2 linked regions of the Arabidopsis thaliana genome follow. The protein of the gene in region 1 interacts with the protein of each later gene in a biochemical or structural test. Each region holds a gene or a part of one and is shown in the gene's direction. Other genes may lie near its edges.

The links.
Region 2: the proteins of UBC19 (region 1) and UBQ3 form a complex in vitro, tested with the Arabidopsis thaliana proteins (one study listed by BioGRID).

The regions. Positions count from the first base shown.
Region 1 is NC_003074.8:7,001,998-7,006,386, reverse strand, and holds UBC19 (ubiquitin-conjugating enzyme19), read left to right. Parts: upstream 1-1,878; 5' UTR 1,879-2,103; coding exon 2,104-2,222; intron 2,223-2,541; exon of another isoform or gene 2,542-2,561; intron 2,562-2,643; coding exon 2,644-2,671; intron 2,672-2,754; coding exon 2,755-2,982; intron 2,983-3,090; coding exon 3,091-3,154; intron 3,155-3,256; coding exon 3,257-3,316; intron 3,317-3,413; coding exon 3,414-3,460; 3' UTR 3,461-3,690; downstream 3,691-4,389. Other genes in the region: TTN9 (titan9), read left to right, coding at 180-270, 371-432, 624-841, 961-1,129, 1,247-1,437; TCP-1 (T-complex protein 1 alpha subunit), read left to right, coding at 4,121-4,193, 4,371-4,389. UniProt on the Arabidopsis thaliana protein: Accepts the ubiquitin from the E1 complex and catalyzes its covalent attachment to other proteins. Part of the anaphase-promoting complex (APC). May have a key function during cell cycle and be involved in cyclin B1 degradation.
Region 2 is NC_003076.8:771,160-775,451, reverse strand, and holds UBQ3 (polyubiquitin 3), read left to right. Parts: upstream 1-1,938; 5' UTR 1,939-2,180; exon of another isoform or gene 2,181-2,555; coding exon 2,556-3,476; 3' UTR 3,477-3,792; downstream 3,793-4,292. Other genes in the region: AT5G03250 (Phototropic-responsive NPH3 family protein), read right to left, coding at 1-320, 433-502, 803-861.

The DNA.
Region 1 (4,389 bases):
GATTCGTTCTTTGAGTTTGAGTTCCTTTGTTCCATACTTGAATTTTAGATATCTCTAGTTAGGTTTGATTTCACATTGCAATTACAAACACTTGGAATCGAGAATTATAACAAGAGACCTTTTAAGTCTGTGAATACGTTCTTAGTGTGTCTGTCTTTTCTCTCTTTTGCTATTTGCAGCCTCAGAGGAGTTGATGGAACATTTGAGAGGTGAAAATCAGAGTTCTCTGGAGATGGTTGAGAAGTTGAGGAATGAAATCATTTCAATCAGGCATGTACTTCACCTTACCGTCTTGATTTTCCCAGACATTCTTTTTTATTTAGAGAAGTTGGAGCCTTGCTAATGTAACTATAACAATCTTGATCCACAGATCTGGCAGGGACGACAAGTTTCTGGAGTGTCAAAAGCTTCTCATGGAAGAAGAACTAAAGAGTAAGAAACTATGTTAATTGATGATAGTTGCTGCTCTATTTTCATGTGTCATGGAATGTAGCCTTATAATTGGACATGATATGTAGTTTAGTTAGGAATTTAGCTGAGATAATGTGAACTGCTTCATGGAGAGTGATGAGGACTTGGTTATAATACTGTCTAGGATAAAATCTTTGTTGTTTTTCTTACAGACAAATCACTTTCTGAAGAAGTTGTCAAGCTAAAAGAGCTGGTCCAAGAGGAACATCCTCGCAACTATGAAGATCAAAGTGGAAAAAAACAAAAGAGAAAGACTCCTGAAAGTGCTCGAGTTACAACGAGAAGCATGATAAAACGTAGCAGACTGTCAGAAGATTTGGTGGAAACGGATATGGTATCACCTGACATTAGCAAACATCATAAAGCAAAGGTAAAACAGATCACCTCTTAACCTTTCAGTTCTGAGCTGAATGTTGTGCATCTTGCTTCACAAACCCAGTGGATCATAAAATTAGCCTTACTGATACTTTTTCTTGCTTTTGTTTCAAGGAGCCTCTCTTGGTTTCTCAGCCACAATGCTGCAGAACAACCTACGATGGATCAAGTAGTTCTGCTAGTTGTACATTTCAAGCTCTTGGCAAACACTTGCTAGGAATGAAATTATCAACTAATAATAAGGGCAAACGCGCCTGCATTGTAGCCTCACACCCAACAACCGGTAATTTGTTTTTCCTGCATGATCTATTTACTTTGATTCAAAAGATCTTTTGAGATCATCAGCCACCAGAAAAGCACCAATGCTGATTTTGTTTCCCTGATTATTTTACCATAACAGGTTTATCCTTCAGCCTAACTTTTATAAATAACCCAAATGGTGAAGAATCTGAGCTGCTTTACAAGCCTGCATCACTCGGAACATTTCAAAGAGTGGCACCGGAATGGATGAGAGAAGTTATAAAGTTCAGCACAAGTATGTGTCCCATCTTCTTTGAAAGAGTCTCTCGAGTCATTAAGCTCAATTGTTGATCGGTACCGTATGTACATCTCCCTCCCCTTATCTTGTGTAGTCATCTCTGATGGCTTCTTAGTGTGATGTTTCTCAATAGGTTTGAAAAGCTAGGGAAGTTATCATTGTATCTATAGAAATGTGTCTCTCTTTAACTTTGGAATTAGTTTCAAAGATAGTGTGTCCTTGTGATGAATCATATTGTAACAAGATCTTGATTTATCCTTTGCTCTCGATACCCTCTCCTCTTGTAGACCTCATAAATCTCTGATCTATTGAGCATTTTACATGATTCAACATTTTACATATTTTTGTAACAAATTTTATCATTGGAAAGATTAAATAGCCGTTACATAAGGTAGGTGAATTTTCAATTCAAATGCATCAAAATAGCCGCTATAACCTAAGTGATAACGTTCGGAAAATGCTTTAGGATAATTCCTTTTTATTGCTTTTGAAAACGACGACGTTTCTTGTGTCGTACACGTTTTATAACCCAGACCCACGTCTCTCTCTCTCAAAGAAGAGAAGAAGAACTCTCTCTCTATCTCTATCTCTATCTCTCTTCTCCTTCTTCTTCAGTTTCGATCATTCTTGAATCTGATTCTTCTCGAGAAAAAAGCGTTTCAATTTCAGAAATTTCGACTACGATTGTTGCTTTGTTCAATTAGAAGAGGCGAAAAAGGATGGCGACGGTTAATGGGTACACAGGGAATACTCCGGCGGCGACTACACCGGCAGCCACCGGATCAAAGCAATCTGCTCCTCCGACTAAGACCGTCGATAGCCACTCCGTTCTAAAAAGGTTATTTCTTTTTTACATTTTTCCGATCTTGGAATATTCTCGCGTCCATTTAAAGGAATTAGTCTTTAGCCTCTTAATGATTAGAATCGCTGCGATTGTTTATAGAGTTGTTCATGTTTCTTTAGGTAGATTAGATTAGGTTTTGGCTCTACCCATATCCATTTCTTGTGGTCTACATGCTTTCTAGATCATTTTTAGAGAAAACGATGGATCCAAAACTGATTGTGACTTCTCTTGTTCTCTTCTGAAATGATGGGTTCTCTCTTTGTCTACCAACTGTTTGTTATAATGTCTCTAAGAGAATGATACATCAAACTTTGTATGTACTACAGATCTCAAGTACTTTCTTTTATGTACCCTTTCTTGATCAAAGCAAACAAATTCATGGTTTTGCTAATTCATTGTTTTTCCTTAATTGCAGGCTGCAATCTGAACTAATGGGATTGATGGTAAGCTATCTTTTCTCTGCATAACTGAACCTGTTGATATGGTTGGATGCTTATATAGAGGCCTTTGGGTTTATGTATTGCAGATGGGAGCTGATCCGGGGATATCTGCGTTTCCAGAGGAAGACAACATATTTTGCTGGAAAGGAACAATTACAGGAAGCAAAGATACTGTGTTCGAAGGAACTGAGTACAGACTCTCACTCACTTTCTCTAACGATTATCCTTTTAAGTCTCCCAAAGTTAAGTTTGAGACATGCTGCTTCCACCCCAATGTGGATCTCTATGGCAATATTTGCTTGGACATTCTTCAGGTACATAACAATCACTTGCTCTTTCTACTTGTGTTACTGTAAATCCCATGGAATCACATATCAGAGAAGCAGTACTTAAAACAGAATCTGTTTTCACATCTTTTGTAGGATAAATGGTCATCTGCTTATGATGTGAGGACGATATTACTCTCAATTCAAAGCCTTCTCGGAGGTAAACTCTATGGCTGATATAACTGTTGAGGTTACTTATGAAGAATTTCTCTGTTGGTTTGATCCAGTATCTGATTTTTCCTGTTTTGTTTTAATTGATCAGAACCGAACATCAGCTCACCATTGAACAATCAAGCGGCTCAGCTTTGGAGCAATCAAGAAGGTAAAATTGCAATAGTTATCAGATTACACATCTCTGGACGTCTCCATTTTTCGATTCATAATGATATTCGTCTTCTTGAACTTGTAATGTTATACAGAGTACAGGAAGATGGTTGAGAAGCTCTACAAGCCTTTAAACGCATGATTCTCAAAAATCACTGTAACTGATTTTAAAATCTCAACTGTATTGGATCATATCTCTTTTACTTTTATAATCTCAATTTGAGCCAATATTAGCAATCAAACTCTACCTTTATTACAGTTCCACAATCACCACCTATATCTCTTCCGTAACTGAGATTTGAGAAGTTCATAATAGTAACTCTGAAATGTTGTAGTAAGTATCTGAAAGTATAATACAAAAAAAAGTTTCTGAACTATTGAAAAATCCAGAAACCAAAGTTCCCCACGAGAGAAGTAAGACTCAAACATGTGAAACGTTGGCACCGGACAAAGTACTGAAGACTAATGAAATGTTTTGAAATTGACATTTATGGCCTTCTTTTTAAATCCCCAAGCCCATAATTCGTGCTTAACTCTTTATTACAAATGGGCTTTGAGGGTATATATTATTTCGGCCCAATATAAAAACGTCGCCGCTTCATTCATACCCTGGCCGTACATCCCAGAAACCTTGAAAGTTAAAAACCCGCCGGAGTCTCTCACTCTCACAAACTTTTGAGAAGCATTTTCGCTTCAATTCAATAAAAGGCGAAAAATCTCTCACTGCACTTTATCTCGAGAGCTCAGATCTCCGATCTAGAGCCTTTCGCTTCTCCTCTTCTGTTCATATAACAACTGAATAATGTCGATCTCCGCCCAAAATCCGGATATTTCCGGCGATAGACAATCCGGCCAAGATGTTCGTACTCAGAACGGTACTACTACTCTCCATCGCTTCCTCTTACGTCTATTTCCTATCTCTTCTCATTACTAAACTGTTCACTTTGTTTTCATCGCAAATTTGTTTCGATCTCTAGCTAGGGTTTGTTTTGAATCTATTCTTTTAGATGTTTTGTGGTTATTGACTCGTATTTTATATACTCTATTTGCAGTGATGGCTTGTCAAGCTGT
Region 2 (4,292 bases), on another chromosome or scaffold:
ACTTCCTCACATGTCTGAAGAGCTTTGATCGAGTCAGTCCAGTTCCCAAACACCTCGTTGAGGAAAGTCTCAGTCATACCAACAAGATTCCCTTCTCCATAGTTATCAGTCATCTCAAGGTACTCAGCTGCACATCTAAGGCTAACAACATTGAAAGCAGTAAGCTCAATTTTCACACCGTAGCAGAATTTGGTAACAAGCTCAAACGTTTTGCCGCCTCCCGGTATCTCATCTAAGCTCAACACACAGCCTGATCCATCATCAGTTGAAGACTCTTCGATTAACCTCTCAAGAAGCCCACTTCTAGATAGTAACGGAAACTACACACAAATCAAGAACACACATTACACAGTTAGATCATCAAGCTTTCACATTTATGCAATTACATCAAAACTAGGACTAAATAAACAGAGAAGATAGAGAAAATTTAACCTTGTGGAGATGAAACTTCATGTCTCCAACTTCAATGGTAACATCACTCACGAGTCCTGTAGTGCAAAGCCTGTAAGACAAGAGAGAGACATAAACCACCACCCAAAACAGAATATACTTGTCCGTACAAAATTGATTATTGATGTCACAAATCAATCAGAGCTAAATTCCAAAAAAAATATGATCTTTGAAACTTGCATCAATAACTAACGATTCTAGGAAGAGCCCATTTCGATTTCAACAAAAAGATGAGAGCTTGATTACATATAAAATCAAGAGAAATTAACGACATTGAAGAGAATTCGATCTCGAAACCGGAAACAAAGACTTATAAGTCGATTAGTCTAATTCAATGCAGAAGAAAGAATACCAGGTTTGGCCTTCACGATGGAAAGCTTCGGATTTGGAGCCAAGTCTCATAAACGCCATTGTGGAAGAAAGTCTTGAGTTGGTGGTAATGTAACAGAGTAGTAAGAACAGAGAAGAGAGAGAGTGTGAGATACATGAATTGTCGGGCAACAAAAATCCTGAACATCTTATTTTAGCAAAGAGAAAGAGTTCCGAGTCTGTAGCAGAAGAGTGAGGAGAAATTTAAGCTCTTGGACTTGTGAATTGTTCCGCCTCTTGAATACTTCTTCAATCCTCATATATTCTTCTTCTATGTTACCTGAAAACCGGCATTTAATCTCGCGGGTTTATTCCGGTTCAACATTTTTTTTGTTTTGAGTTATTATCTGGGCTTAATAACGCAGGCCTGAAATAAATTCAAGGCCCAACTGTTTTTTTTTTTAAGAAGTTGCTGTTAAAAAAAAAAAAAGGGAATTAACAACAACAACAAAAAAAGATAAAGAAAATAATAACAATTACTTTAATTGTAGACTAAAAAAACATAGATTTTATCATGAAAAAAAGAGAAAAGAAATAAAAACTTGGATCAAAAAAAAAAACATACAGATCTTCTAATTATTAACTTTTCTTAAAAATTAGGTCCTTTTTCCCAACAATTAGGTTTAGAGTTTTGGAATTAAACCAAAAAGATTGTTCTAAAAAATACTCAAATTTGGTAGATAAGTTTCCTTATTTTAATTAGTCAATGGTAGATACTTTTTTTTCTTTTCTTTATTAGAGTAGATTAGAATCTTTTATGCCAAGTATTGATAAATTAAATCAAGAAGATAAACTATCATAATCAACATGAAATTAAAAGAAAAATCTCATATATAGTATTAGTATTCTCTATATATATTATGATTGCTTATTCTTAATGGGTTGGGTTAACCAAGACATAGTCTTAATGGAAAGAATCTTTTTTGAACTTTTTCCTTATTGATTAAATTCTTCTATAGAAAAGAAAGAAATTATTTGAGGAAAAGTATATACAAAAAGAAAAATAGAAAAATGTCAGTGAAGCAGATGTAATGGATGACCTAATCCAACCACCACCATAGGATGTTTCTACTTGAGTCGGTCTTTTAAAAACGCACGGTGGAAAATATGACACGTATCATATGATTCCTTCCTTTAGTTTCGTGATAATAATCCTCAACTGATATCTTCCTTTTTTTGTTTTGGCTAAAGATATTTTATTCTCATTAATAGAAAAGACGGTTTTGGGCTTTTGGTTTGCGATATAAAGAAGACCTTCGTGTGGAAGATAATAATTCATCCTTTCGTCTTTTTCTGACTCTTCAATCTCTCCCAAAGCCTAAAGCGATCTCTGCAAATCTCTCGCGACTCTCTCTTTCAAGGTATATTTTCTGATTCTTTTTGTTTTTGATTCGTATCTGATCTCCAATTTTTGTTATGTGGATTATTGAATCTTTTGTATAAATTGCTTTTGACAATATTGTTCGTTTCGTCAATCCAGCTTCTAAATTTTGTCCTGATTACTAAGATATCGATTCGTAGTGTTTACATCTGTGTAATTTCTTGCTTGATTGTGAAATTAGGATTTTCAAGGACGATCTATTCAATTTTTGTGTTTTCTTTGTTCGATTCTCTCTGTTTTAGGTTTCTTATGTTTAGATCCGTTTCTCTTTGGTGTTGTTTTGATTTCTCTTACGGCTTTTGATTTGGTATATGTTCGCTGATTGGTTTCTACTTGTTCTATTGTTTTATTTCAGATGCAAATCTTCGTGAAAACACTCACTGGCAAGACTATCACTCTCGAGGTTGAGAGCTCTGACACCATCGACAATGTTAAGGCAAAGATTCAGGACAAGGAAGGCATTCCTCCGGATCAGCAAAGATTAATATTCGCCGGTAAACAGCTAGAAGATGGCCGTACCTTGGCCGATTACAACATTCAGAAAGAATCAACCCTTCATTTGGTTCTCCGTTTAAGAGGTGGTATGCAAATCTTTGTCAAGACTCTGACTGGCAAGACCATTACTTTGGAGGTTGAGAGCTCTGACACTATTGACAACGTCAAAGCAAAGATCCAGGACAAGGAAGGAATCCCTCCGGATCAGCAGAGACTTATCTTTGCCGGTAAGCAGCTTGAAGACGGAAGAACTCTTGCTGACTACAACATTCAAAAGGAGTCGACCCTTCATTTGGTGCTTCGTCTCAGAGGTGGTATGCAAATCTTTGTCAAGACCCTCACTGGTAAAACAATCACCCTTGAGGTTGAGAGTTCAGACACCATTGACAATGTCAAAGCTAAGATCCAAGATAAAGAGGGAATTCCTCCGGATCAGCAGAGGCTTATCTTTGCCGGTAAGCAGCTCGAAGATGGACGCACCCTTGCAGATTACAACATCCAAAAGGAGTCGACACTTCATCTTGTGCTTCGTCTCCGTGGTGGTATGCAGATCTTTGTGAAGACCCTTACCGGAAAGACCATTACTCTGGAGGTTGAAAGCTCAGACACCATCGATAATGTCAAGGCTAAGATTCAGGACAAGGAAGGGATCCCACCAGACCAACAGAGACTCATCTTCGCTGGAAAACAGCTTGAGGATGGTCGCACACTTGCAGATTACAACATCCAGAAGGAGTCGACTCTTCACTTGGTTCTTCGTCTTCGTGGTGGAAGCTTCTAAGCTTTTTGTGATCTGATGATAAGTGGTTGGTTCGTGTCTCATGCACTTGGGAGGTGATCTATTTCACCTGGTGTAGTTTGTGTTTCCGTCAGTTGGAAAAACTTATCCCTATCGATTTCGTTTTCATTTTCTGCTTTTCTTTTATGTACCTTCGTTTGGGCTTGTAACGGGCCTTTGTATTTCAACTCTCAATAATAATCCAAGTGCATGTTAAACAATTTGTCATCTGTTTCGGCTTTGATATACTACTGGTGAAGATGGGCCGTACTACTGCATCACAACGAAAAATAATAATAAGATGAAAAACTTGAAGTGGAAAAAAAAAAAAACTTGAATGTTCACTACTACTCATTGACCATAATGTTTAACATACATAGCTCAATAGTATTTTTGTGAATATGGCAACACAAACAGTCCAAAACAATTGTCTCTTACTATACCAAACCAAGGGCGCCGCTTGTTTGCCACTCTTTGTGTGCAATAGTGTGATTACCACATCTCCACATTCAATATATTCCCTGAATTATCTGACGATTTTGATGGCTCACTGTTTTCCCAAGTCTTGAATTGTCTTCTGTGCGCCAGTCAAATGCATATGTGTTGAGTTTATCTTTTAAATATCAAGCTTTTGTTTTTAACTTTTGTTTGTAACCAAAAACTCACAGTAGGAGTTTGATCACATAATTTTATGTTTGCCTTTGCAATTTCTAGTGAGTCTTTGATTAAAAGCTTGAAAAGAAAATGCAGCCAAGCTTACCAAGTAAGTTATGTGTATTAACCAGAGGAAGAGAGAATCTTGCAAAATTTCAACAAACA